Linked DNA regions of Arabidopsis thaliana. The protein of the gene in region 2 binds, or shares a complex with, the protein of the main gene of each other region. Each region holds a gene or a part of one and is shown on either strand. Other genes may lie near its edges.

What was found.
Region 1: SKIP (region 2) and AT4G14300 share a complex: the UniProt entries of both Arabidopsis thaliana proteins name them as parts of the spliceosome.
Region 3: SKIP (region 2) and RS41 share a complex: the UniProt entries of both Arabidopsis thaliana proteins name them as parts of the spliceosome.

Annotation. Positions count from the first base shown.
Region 1 is NC_003075.7:8,229,306-8,233,057, forward strand, and holds the start of AT4G14300 (RNA-binding (RRM/RBD/RNP motifs) family protein), read left to right. Parts: upstream 1-1,696; 5' UTR 1,697-1,873; coding exon 1,874-2,095; intron 2,096-2,466; coding exon 2,467-3,480; 3' UTR 3,481-3,752. Other genes in the region: AT4G14290 (alpha/beta-Hydrolases superfamily protein), read right to left, coding at 5-108, 322-403, 715-752. UniProt on the Arabidopsis thaliana protein: Involved with pre-mRNA processing. Forms complexes (ribonucleosomes) with at least 20 other different hnRNP and heterogeneous nuclear RNA in the nucleus.
Region 2 is NC_003070.9:29,000,515-29,004,266, reverse strand, and holds the start of SKIP (chromatin protein family), read left to right. Parts: upstream 1-2,131; 5' UTR 2,132-2,303; intron 2,304-2,426; exon of another isoform or gene 2,427-2,602; 5' UTR 2,603-2,634; coding exon 2,635-3,752. UniProt on the Arabidopsis thaliana protein: Splicing factor involved in post-transcriptional regulation of circadian clock and flowering time genes. Associates with the pre-mRNA of PRR7, PRR9, ELF3 and GI, and is necessary for the regulation of their alternative splicing and mRNA maturation.
Region 3 is NC_003076.8:21,128,213-21,131,964, forward strand, and holds the start of RS41 (RNA-binding (RRM/RBD/RNP motifs) family protein), read left to right. Parts: upstream 1-2,107; 5' UTR 2,108-2,221; intron 2,222-2,832; coding exon of another isoform or gene 2,833-2,868; coding exon 2,869-2,974; coding exon of another isoform or gene 2,975-3,062; exon of another isoform or gene 3,063-3,125; coding exon of another isoform or gene 3,126-3,237; exon of another isoform or gene 3,238-3,281; coding exon of another isoform or gene 3,282-3,488; exon of another isoform or gene 3,489-3,578; coding exon of another isoform or gene 3,579-3,603; exon of another isoform or gene 3,604-3,668; coding exon of another isoform or gene 3,669-3,675; exon of another isoform or gene 3,676-3,752. Other genes in the region: AT5G52030 (TraB family protein), read left to right, coding at 79-500, 597-715, 804-892, 969-1,043, 1,136-1,243, 1,338-1,439, 1,529-1,822; AT5G52045 (uncharacterized protein), read right to left, coding at 2,833-3,062, 3,126-3,237, 3,282-3,488. UniProt on the Arabidopsis thaliana protein: Required for constitutive and alternative pre-mRNA splicing. Involved in primary miRNA processing and pri-miRNA biogenesis. Binds both intronless and intron-containing pri-miRNAs.

The DNA.
Region 1 (3,752 bases), on a different chromosome or scaffold from region 2:
TTACCTGTTGCCATGGCAGTATATTACACAAGGTAGAGGCCTATCTTCAGGACGCTCAACTGGCATGTAATGACTACACTGAAGGATATCTCCTCTGATGTTTTTAACCTGTCACAATATAAGTTCTTCTATAGTCTTAGGTGAACAAAGCACAACTAAAACCTTGAGATCCTAAAGGCAGTCCAAGGCTGGAAAATAAGGAACTCACGCTGATCAACAGTGAACAACTGATGAAATCTACATTGACATTGAATCACAACATGTTTGCTTGGATTCTCTAGTCAGGAGTTCACAACAACAACAGAAGAAAAAAAGCTTTACCTCTAAATCTTTCCTCTGGTACCATCTCCCTTTAAGCAAGAACTCTTGTTCCAAGAGATCATGTTCTGGATTGTATTCAGCTCTACATCAAAACACCAGTTATATTCAACCGTAGATGAAACAAACTAATTAAAACAAATTGGATTTGAAAGAGGAACAGGGTTTTCTTGAGGAAATGCAACCCTAAATCCTAGTATATATTACTTCATCTATATAAAAATCCAAAATCAACTCAAGAACAAGAACCAAAATTTCAAAACTCAAATCTAAAAATCTAAACTTTGTGTGAAACCCAATTCTACAACCTAGTAAAGAGAAATAGAAAGATGAAACTGAAAACTAAATTCCAGAATCAGTAAGTAATTTTTTTCAATTTTCTGAGAGAATCATCACCTTGGAGGTCGAATGACGAAGTTAACAAGCTGCTCCATTAGAAAAAAATCAAACAAATCACCTTCTTCTTCTTCTCATTCTTCCATATTTCTCACAAATAGTCAAAAATCGAATAAAACCTAACCAACGAAAGAGATTCAGATAGAACAAGAAATGTAACTAAAAAAACCCTAAATCAAAAGATCGAGCTGTTCCAGAAGAAAGACAGTGAGATCGAAGAAAGAAAAACACAGAGAAAGAGAAGAAAATAAAGCAAAGTAATAGAAAAACGGCTTTTTCGTTGTTGAAGCCTGAAACTGTTTTTATATTTAAAAATATATAAACAAACTTTATAAATTAGCCCCACATTTTTGCCGCTTTTTACATTTAACGTCTTCACATTTCATTATGGAAATTAATTAATTGGTATTGTCATGTATAATCATTAATCATTATTACTAATTCCAAAGTTTTTTCAGTGAAAGCTGACATTGACCAAAGTCTCTTAAAAAATTTCGAAAAAAAACTCAAAAATTCAATTAAGGTTTTTTAGTGGAGATCGTGCACGTTAATTGTCGTTTATAGGCTATTGTTTTAATTATTTTAAAATATATACGAGGTAATTAAGAGATTAATTAAACTTAAACATATGAGGTTAATTATTACAAGTACTAATAAAGCTGTAATGTGGAGTTTGGAATTTTCGACAACAAAGTGCACATCTGGCACAGAGATTGTCACAGCACGAAAGATTTTTTTGTCGTTCTTGTAGGATTTGCTGGCACGTGTGGAATAGAAAACACACGAGTGAAACCATCGTCGGTCTTTGTAGCCCATTATTTATACTTCTATTGGGCTGGACTTAAGCCCATAAGTAAGCATCTCTGTTACAAGAAAACGGGAAACAGATCTGAACCGTTAATAATATTAGAAAGGATCTAGACCGTTGATTTATTTATCTGCTGACAGATTCGTACCTTCGCGAATATCAATACCAAACCAATAGAAATATTCGTTCGCTGTCTTCTTCCTCTTCCTCCTCTCAAATCGGCTACAGCCATTGGAAAAGCTAAAGCCTTTTCGTAATTTCTGGAAGTTTCTGCAGTCGGTTTTCACGGTTTCGTAGATTGAGGTGGATTTGTGATTCTGGGTCAGAAGTAAGATAGTGGAATATAAATTCATGGATTCGGATCAAGGAAAGCTTTTTGTCGGTGGTATTTCATGGGAAACTGATGAAGATAAGCTGAGAGAACATTTCACCAACTATGGAGAGGTTTCTCAGGCTATTGTGATGAGAGACAAGCTCACAGGTCGACCTAGGGGTTTTGGGTTCGTTATCTTCTCGGATCCTTCTGTTCTCGATAGGGTTCTTCAAGAGAAACACAGCATTGATACCAGAGAGGTTATTATTGTTCTCTTATAGCTCCATTTCTCTAATTGTGTTAAAGTTTTATCCTTTTTGCGTTTTGCTGTGTTGATTGAGAACGAGAGTAAATATAGAATTTTGTTTGGTTGGCAAATTCGCCTTAGTGTTTCTTAGATTCTAGGATTGGTTTTAACTTGTATAAGAGGTATTATAGGGTACTCGATATATGTTAATCGTACACTCTATGAAGTGATTGAGTATAGTATTAGAAAAGAGAGCTTGGTTTGGTTTATTAGGATAAGGAAAAACAGATGTATATATTTTCTGTTGCGTTATGTTCTCGATTTGGGTAAAGTATGATTCTTGGAAGTTTATTATGAGCTTTATTGATTTTGGTTAATGTTTAGGTTGATGTGAAGAGAGCCATGTCAAGAGAGGAGCAGCAAGTCTCTGGAAGAACTGGGAATCTTAATACATCTAGAAGTTCTGGAGGTGATGCTTACAATAAAACCAAGAAGATCTTTGTTGGAGGCTTGCCACCTACTTTGACTGATGAAGAGTTTCGCCAGTACTTTGAAGTTTATGGCCCTGTGACTGATGTTGCAATCATGTATGACCAGGCTACCAACCGTCCTCGTGGGTTTGGATTTGTTTCCTTCGACTCTGAAGATGCGGTAGACAGTGTTTTGCACAAGACTTTCCATGATTTGAGCGGTAAACAAGTTGAAGTAAAGCGTGCTCTTCCTAAAGATGCCAATCCTGGAGGTGGTGGACGATCAATGGGTGGTGGTGGCTCTGGTGGTTACCAGGGTTATGGTGGCAATGAAAGCAGTTATGATGGACGTATGGATTCCAATAGGTTTTTGCAGCATCAAAGTGTTGGAAATGGTTTACCATCTTATGGTTCTTCTGGTTATGGCGCTGGCTATGGAAATGGTAGTAATGGTGCCGGGTATGGTGCCTATGGAGGTTACACTGGTTCTGCTGGAGGTTATGGCGCTGGTGCTACTGCTGGATATGGAGCAACGAACATTCCAGGTGCTGGCTATGGAAGTAGTACTGGAGTTGCTCCGAGAAACTCATGGGACACTCCAGCTTCTAGTGGTTATGGGAACCCAGGCTATGGGAGTGGTGCTGCTCATAGTGGATATGGAGTTCCTGGTGCAGCTCCTCCTACGCAGTCACCATCTGGCTATAGTAACCAAGGCTACGGTTATGGAGGGTACAGTGGAAGTGATTCTGGTTATGGAAATCAAGCTGCATATGGTGTGGTTGGAGGGCGTCCTAGTGGTGGCGGTTCAAACAACCCTGGTAGTGGTGGCTACATGGGAGGTGGTTATGGTGATGGATCTTGGCGATCTGACCCGTCACAAGGTTATGGTGGTGGGTACAATGATGGTCAGGGTCGACAAGGCCAGTAGTGACTGTGTAAGGGGATTATGACCGCCCTGGTTTCTGGATCCTTGTCAAGAAGAATTTAGCTCAAATCAAAGGTTCCACAACTTCCTAACGGGTTGGACTGCTTGAATCTCTTTATAAGCATGTGCTATCTATTACAATAAGTCACTTCTATTAAGTTATTTTTCGGTTGAGTGTACTTTTGAGTTTTGGCAGAGTTATTATAACTACAGGCTTTGCTGTTTTCGTATTATGTTTGTCTTCCTAGTATTCTTGCCGGATTGTTTGTTTTGAT
Region 2 (3,752 bases):
TATACTTGATTAAACCTGATAGTACCATATAATGTTTATTGCTCTCTTTTTTTTGATCGGATCTTCTAGATATTTTGTACGAACACGCCAATTGTGATTGGACGATAAATGGTTTTTTGTTTATATTTTGCTAATTAACTTATATAGTTTAGGTGACCATTTTTTATACTTTAGGTGAACATTTGAGAATTAAACTATTTATATCAAAGTAGCGGTAGATAAAAGTATTATCTGAGATGGTTTGTTAGTTGACATATATTGAATCTTTTCAACTTGGTATTTATTATCACCCTCTGTATTTAATTCACAAAATTTCTACTGTTAGCTTCATATAACCAACTTTTTCAATTTAAATTATTGTTTACAGTGAATGAGAAATACAAGTACAATGCAATATTTAGGAAATACACTTTTGAGAAGAAAAATAGAAACTCATTTTCTTTCCCTAATTAAAAACAATTTGTACCAGAGAAGTAAAAGATTATCGTTCTACCAAAACGAATTTGCAGGTTAAGGATTATTTATCATTTCCTCTTGTTTGACTTTGTTTGCATTAGTCAGACATAATTAATGGCTTGACCCTTAATTTAACATGTCCATGCACTAACTCATATGCAAATCCAACGATGTGAAATTTAAAACCTTTTTTTTATTCATTTTTAATCTTTGTAAAACGAACTTATATTATGTTTGAACAAATATTTTTTCATACGCAATCCTTAGATGGGGAAATTAATACCTTTGTAACAAAAAAAAAAAAAAAATGTTAAATCAACTAAGTATTGGGTGAGTCTTCTCAACGAAAACATCAATCAACACCGGCCTCATAAGTTGATTAAATTAACACATTTATTATAATCATCGTACATTGATTTGAATCAAAATTAATTGTTACGTTAATTAGTAATGCATCTAACTATCCCGTAGGAAAAGGCCATTATATTGGGATCCGCGGTCAACGGAGGTTCCACCCACGAGCACGGTCTTTATTTGTTTTTTCCTTTCTCAAATATATATACGGATGTATGATTTTTTGCTTTTGGGGTTAAACAAATATGAATTACTGTGCTTAGATCAGAAATAGACACTTTTATACAAATGATTATATGATTACTGTTCATAGCATAAGCTCCTATGAAAACAAATAATAATCGCAACAGCCGTTTAACCTAATCGAATGCTGAAAAGCCCTCAAAATAGTTCATCTAATCCATGAATCGATTTAACAGAAAAAGTTGAAAATTGTATGCATATGATATACTCAAGTATATTCCGAGTTTTGAGTTGTGTAATGCAAGGAGTCAAGGACCATAGTTTGTCGTTGAACACAACCACGCCAAGTTGTCCACCAAAACTGGAAACTAACTACCATGCCGTTGTTTCCATAGAAGCAAAACCATTAACCTTCCCATTATCCCGCATGGCCACATATATGTTTAATAATATTTCTCACCATACATTTAAGTCTCTCTCGTAGTCGTTATTTACATAGCCTACGTAGTTCATTCATATCATTTTTGTTTCTTTACCTTATATCAAACAAATTGGTTGTTGATTAGAAAAACATAAATTGGTTCATTAAATATCAAACTAACGCCATCAATCTATTGTTTTTTTATAAAAAAATGAAAGAGAAGAAAGTTTGTTGATATGAAACTTACACTTGCTTTGAGTTTTGATAGACAAACCAAAGCCTAACTAGTATTTCCTCTATTGGTACTTGAATTCTGAACTTTTTCACCTTCCCTTTCGAGGTGGTTTAACAGTATACCAGTTGAGATGTACCAACACCAAATTCTTATACTTTTTTTTCTTTTAACCTTGAATTCAGTATTTTAAACGAAACTATGGGAATGTGTTTGAGACGGATTTTCATTAAGGACAATGCAAATAATTATGAGATGCTCAGAATTGTTGTATATATCAAAAAGCCAACACCTATAGTTATATATATAACTTTCTTCGATTTAAAAACAATAAGTCGCTTTGGCCGAGTGGTTAAGGCGTGTGCCTGCTAAGTACATGGGCTCTGCCCGCGAGAGTTCGAATCTCTCAGGCGACGTTATCCTTTTCGTTTTTTCGTCTATTTTTAAACCGACTTACATAGACACTGCGTATAAGACAATTGATTCCTTTTTTTTGTTGTTAATCCTATCAACCCTAGAAAAGGCTTCACGCCCGATTTCTTTTTTCCCCAGAAAAAGGCTTCACTTCCGTTCGTTGTTCTTCATCGGTCTGCGCCGCCTCGCACATCGTTTCACCTTTCTCAGAATCTCTCTTCCCGTCGATTAGTTTCCTCAGAGGTTAGCTTCTTCGATTTCTCAGATTCAATTCTGCTTTTTGCTTTCCTCCTGTTGTTTTTAGGTTTTTGTCGATCTCTATGTTCAGCGATTCCTAAACCCTACTTGTTTTCCGCTCTATTGTAGTGAATCCAACCCAGATTTTTCAGATTTTAATCGGAATTATTCGGGATCTAATGCTCGCGTCGAGTTTATCGCTAGAAAACCCTAATTTCGGAGGATCTGTCACTTTTATTATCAGAAGCTTGTTGTTGTAATTACGGATTAGGTATGTCCTGATCGTTATTGTTCTTTGTTTGCAGGTTGCGATTTGTTGAAAACCTTGATTTAGACTATGAAGTCTCTTAATGATCTTCCTGCGCCCAAATCAACCACTACCACGTATTATGATCATTCTAATGATGCTTGGTTCAAAAACCGAGTCACTGAATCCGAGACGGTGAAATCCTCCAGTATCAAATTTAAAGTGGTGCCTGCTTACCTGAATCGTCAAGGTTTACGTCCGAAGAATCCAGAGGATTTTGGCGATGGTGGTGCTTTCCCGGAGATTCATCTTCCTCAGTATCCTCTTCTTATGGGTAAGAATAAATCCAATAAGCCTGGAGCTAAGACTCTCCCTGTTACTGTCGATGCTCAGGGAAACGTGGTCTTTGACGCTATAGTGAGGCAGAATGAGAACTCGAGGAAGATTGTTTATTCTCAGCATAAGGATATTATTCCAAAGTTTCTGAAAAACGAGGGAGACTTGGGTACTGTTGTTGATGAAGAGGAGGAATTGCAGAAGGAGATTCAGGAGACTGCTGAAGAAACGAAAGCTGCCATTGAGAAGATTGTGAATGTGAGACTGAGTGCAGCGCAGCCTAGTAATATAGCAAGGCAATCGGGAGATTCACAGTACATTAAATATAAGCCATCCCAGCAATCTTCTGCCTTCAATTCTGGTGCTAAAGAGAGGATCATTAGGATGGTGGAGATGCCTGTAGATCCACTTGATCCACCAAAGTTCAAGCACAAGAGAGTCCCAAGGGCTTCTGGTTCTCCGCCTGTTCCGGTCATGCATTCACCGCCCAGGCCTGTTACCGTCAAGGACCAGCAAGACTGGAAAATCCCTCCTTGTATCTCCAATTGGAAGAATCCGAAAGGTTACACAATCCCTCTTGACAAACGTCTAGCTGCTGATGGAAGGGGCCTACAAGACGTTCAGATCAATGATAACTTTGCCAAGTTATCAGAGGCCCTCTATGTAGCTGAGCAGAAAGCTAGAGAGGCTGTTTCAATGCGTTCCAAGGTGCAAAAAGAGATGGTGATGAAGGACAAGGAAAGGAAAGAGCAGGAATTGAGGGCTCTTGCCCAAAAAGCTCGCTCCGAAAGAACCGGTGCTGCTATGAGTATGCCTGTCTCATCTGACAGGGGTAGGAGTGAAAGTGTTGACCCAAGAGGTGATTATGACAA
Region 3 (3,752 bases), on a different chromosome or scaffold from region 2:
CAATAAAAAAACTTCAATCTTTTTTTTCTTCACAATTATCGATCCAAATCAAGATTTTCTTGATTTGAATTCCTTGCGATGAAACTCCTTCCGAATCCATCACTAACCTTGTTCCCTTTCTTCACTCCCTATACTTCAAAGCATATTTTCAGACCCATCAAAGTCTCCGTCTCCGTTCAAACTCCTCCGCCGGATTTCGATTTCCGCAACGACATCGCGTCGGAATCACGCGCCGCAATCGCGAAAACTTACCCGGAGTTGCTTGACCTCGCTGATAACGGGACTCTGATTCTTCTCCAGAAACAGAGTTTCGGTCCTGTTCCAGCTTGGCGCAAAGAGTTCGTTGAGCCGGAAGCGATTTGGCTTGTGGGCACTTCTCATATCTCGCCGGAATCTGCTTCCATCGTTGAACGCGTCGTCCGTACTGTGAAGCCTGATAATGTCGCCGTTGAACTCTGTCGTAGCAGGAAAGTCCAATTCTTTATCCAAACGAAATTCGGGTTTCGTGAAATTTGATGACTTTATTGCCAACTGATGAAATTGAATTAGCCATTGTGTTGTGTAACAAATTGCAGAGCTTGGTGTTGATGTTGCAGAGCTGGGATTATGTACACTTCAAGTGTTGGAGGAGAGGTTGACCAAAACTTAAAATCCGGAGAGTTGTCGTTGACCGGGACTGGCTTTCTCGGTGCTGTTGGCCGGAGTTTAGACTTGGGTATATAAACTAATCAAAGCTTTTTATTTACCATTGCTCGCTTTTGTACTTCAACGTTGATGAATGTGTGTGTTTGGGATGATCATAGGAGGGCAAACTGCGTTGGCATTGCGACTTCTATTGGCGGTTTTCTCTTCTAAGTTATCTTCTGTTGCTGACCGCCCTTTCGGGGATGAGGTACTTTTGAGAAAACCTCAAGAGTTAGTGTTTGTTTTTGGACATTCAGTCTCTTCTTGATTGCTATTTGTTGCAGTTTCGTGCTGCTCGGAAAGCATCTGAGGAAGTTGGTGCGCAGCTGGTTCTTGGAGATCGACCCATCGAAATAACTGTAATGACTATACCAAGTACCAACTGATCGTTTTTGTAGTTACATATGGGTTTAAAACCAATGGAATCTACATTGAACTTATAACATTGTAGCTCCAAAGGGCTTGGAACTCTTTGAAATGGGGAGAGAAGTTTAATCTGGTGATGGCTGTGACTCGGGTAATCACATCGTCATCGGGTATATCCGCAGCGGAGCTTAAGGTTTTGTTTCTCTTTCGCTAACTCGGTTTCGCTTTAATTCAAGAAGATGATAAGATAAGTTGTAACTTTTCGGTTTGTGTTTGCATTGCAACAGGAACAAGAGACCGATGAAAACAGTGGAAGTTTGCAGCTTTACGAACGGCTAAGTTTCTCATACCCGGCACTCCTAATGCCTCTTATACACGAAAGAGATACCGTAAGCATAAAAACCGAAACAAAGCGACACTCAAAAAAACCGTATGCTGATAAGACTTGACCAAATAATGTGTTTTTTTGCCTTGACAGTATCTTGCTTGGTCATTGAAGAGAAGTAAGGCAGTGAATGGGTGTAAAACAGTGGTGGGAGTGATCGGGAAAGGACACATGAATGGTGTCATCTACGCGTTGGTGTCAGACTCTGGGGATCTCCGGTTTAGAGATTTGGTGGGAAGAGGAGATTCATATAATGGTGGTACTGGTACTACATCGAACGGTTGGATTCAAAAGGTTTTAAAGAGCTTCGTAAGAGACACAATTATAGGGTTCTTGCTATGGGAGTTATATGAACAGTATCTGATGATGAATCAAAACCTTTCATGATATAACTAAAAAAACAAGTTGTTGCATATTTAAAAAGGAAACTGGAAAAAGAATCTAAATGAGTACAATATGTATGTATATGATTCTTCTTCCTCTAGATTTTGTTGAGGCAACTACAAAGTCTTATATGAAATTGATGTATATTTTGCAGAAATTTCAATTGTAAACATAAAATGTTTAGGTAAAAAATTATTTGTACTTCTCTAGTTGGTAACGAAATAAAAATAAAATATTTTTTTTTTTAATATATATATATATATATATATAAATATAAATATATGTTTAAGATTCATTATCTGGAGAGAGAGCCTCGAAGAAAGCAAATAAAATCTAGAGAAGCTTGTTTCTAGGGTTTCGACTCTCGACGGCCGGTACGATTTTTCAACTGCTTGTTCTAAGGTATAATCAAAATCGAGTTCTTCAGATATTGAATTCGATTCTCTCTTTGGTCTCTCTCTTCTCTTGTTCTTCAGATTTAAATTCGATAGCTTTTTCATTTTCTTCCGTTGAATTTTTCTTGTTTCATTAGGTCTGTTGAAATTGTAGTTTCTTCTTGCTTTGTTTTCTCATATGGTTGATTTTTTTTTTCCAGATCTGAGGTTTTTTTCATCATAGCTTGAAAAAATCCATACTTTCTGGGCTTCCTTTGTATAAATATGAAAACTTTAATGAAAATCTGTTGTGGTATGTTATGGGTTGTGACTTGTGATGAATTGAATTTTGAATATAGTTGTAAATTTGAAATCTTGAAGTATGAAATTTGCATTGGTTTGTTAATTTGTGATGAATTGGATTTTGATTATTACAGTTATAAAGTTGAAAACTTGGAAGTGTAGATGATTACATTTTTCTGTGGTTTGGTTCCTGTTATGTTCATTGTTCTATGATCTTAATTATATGTTTTGTTATTGCTTCTCTTCTGGAGTGTGTTTATTTGTATATTTTGGTCAAATCTGTGCTCTGTTTAGTATCTCTTGGATATCTTTTGATACTTAGGTTGTTGAGAGGAGCTATAAATCGTTTCTGTTGTCTATTTTGTAGGAATCATGAAGCCTGTCTTTTGCGGAAACTTTGAGTATGATGCTCGTGAGAGTGATCTTGAGCGGCTTTTCAGAAAGTACGGCAAGGTTGAGAGGGTTGATATGAAAGCTGGTAAGTCTTGGTTCTTGTTTTTCTTTATACTTTCTCTTAGTTTTTCTGTTTGGTTGAATTGAAATGGATAAAGAAGTCTCGTAAACCACTACCAATCCGATGAACAACAAGCGAAATTCAGTCAAATGCATTGTTCTTAAAATCCACTTACGTGCGTTCATTCCATGAGACTCTCTGGAGGACTGTCCTTTCAAAGTGTGCTCTCTAGCCTCTGCATCCCACATTCCGTATTCCCTCGGTTCGCTACCATCTGATTCCAACATCTGCCAAGGAACTTGAAGCACCCCGCATGAAGTTCATAGCATACCTCAGAAGAGAAAAGATCGAGTAATTTTAGGGTAAAACCGCCATACTCAACATTTGATTTTGGCGCAGGATTTGTTTCGATCTTGGGATGCCCATTCTCCCACACAGCCCATTGATGGACAATATGGAAAATCCATTTCCTGCCCAAAAGAGTCAACCTCATCCACGCAATGGCACTACGTTCCCATAACCCCGACTTTAGTTGCATTTCATTCCTCTTGACTTTTCTCCTCTTCGAGATGCACATGCCTCTTTGGTAGACTTATACCAACCTCTCACAGCAGAGGCAGCAAATCAAATGGAGTTTGCGCCACCACGTTTCTGTTCACAATTCCGTCTCATCTCCTCCTCATTTTCAGTTCTTCTTCTTTGACATATTAATTCCATAATGCAAGGTCTGTAAAACTACTTATAGTTTGTAGAGATTTTAGGTTCAAAACTTATTTGTCACAGTAAGTAGTAAAGGCTGTTT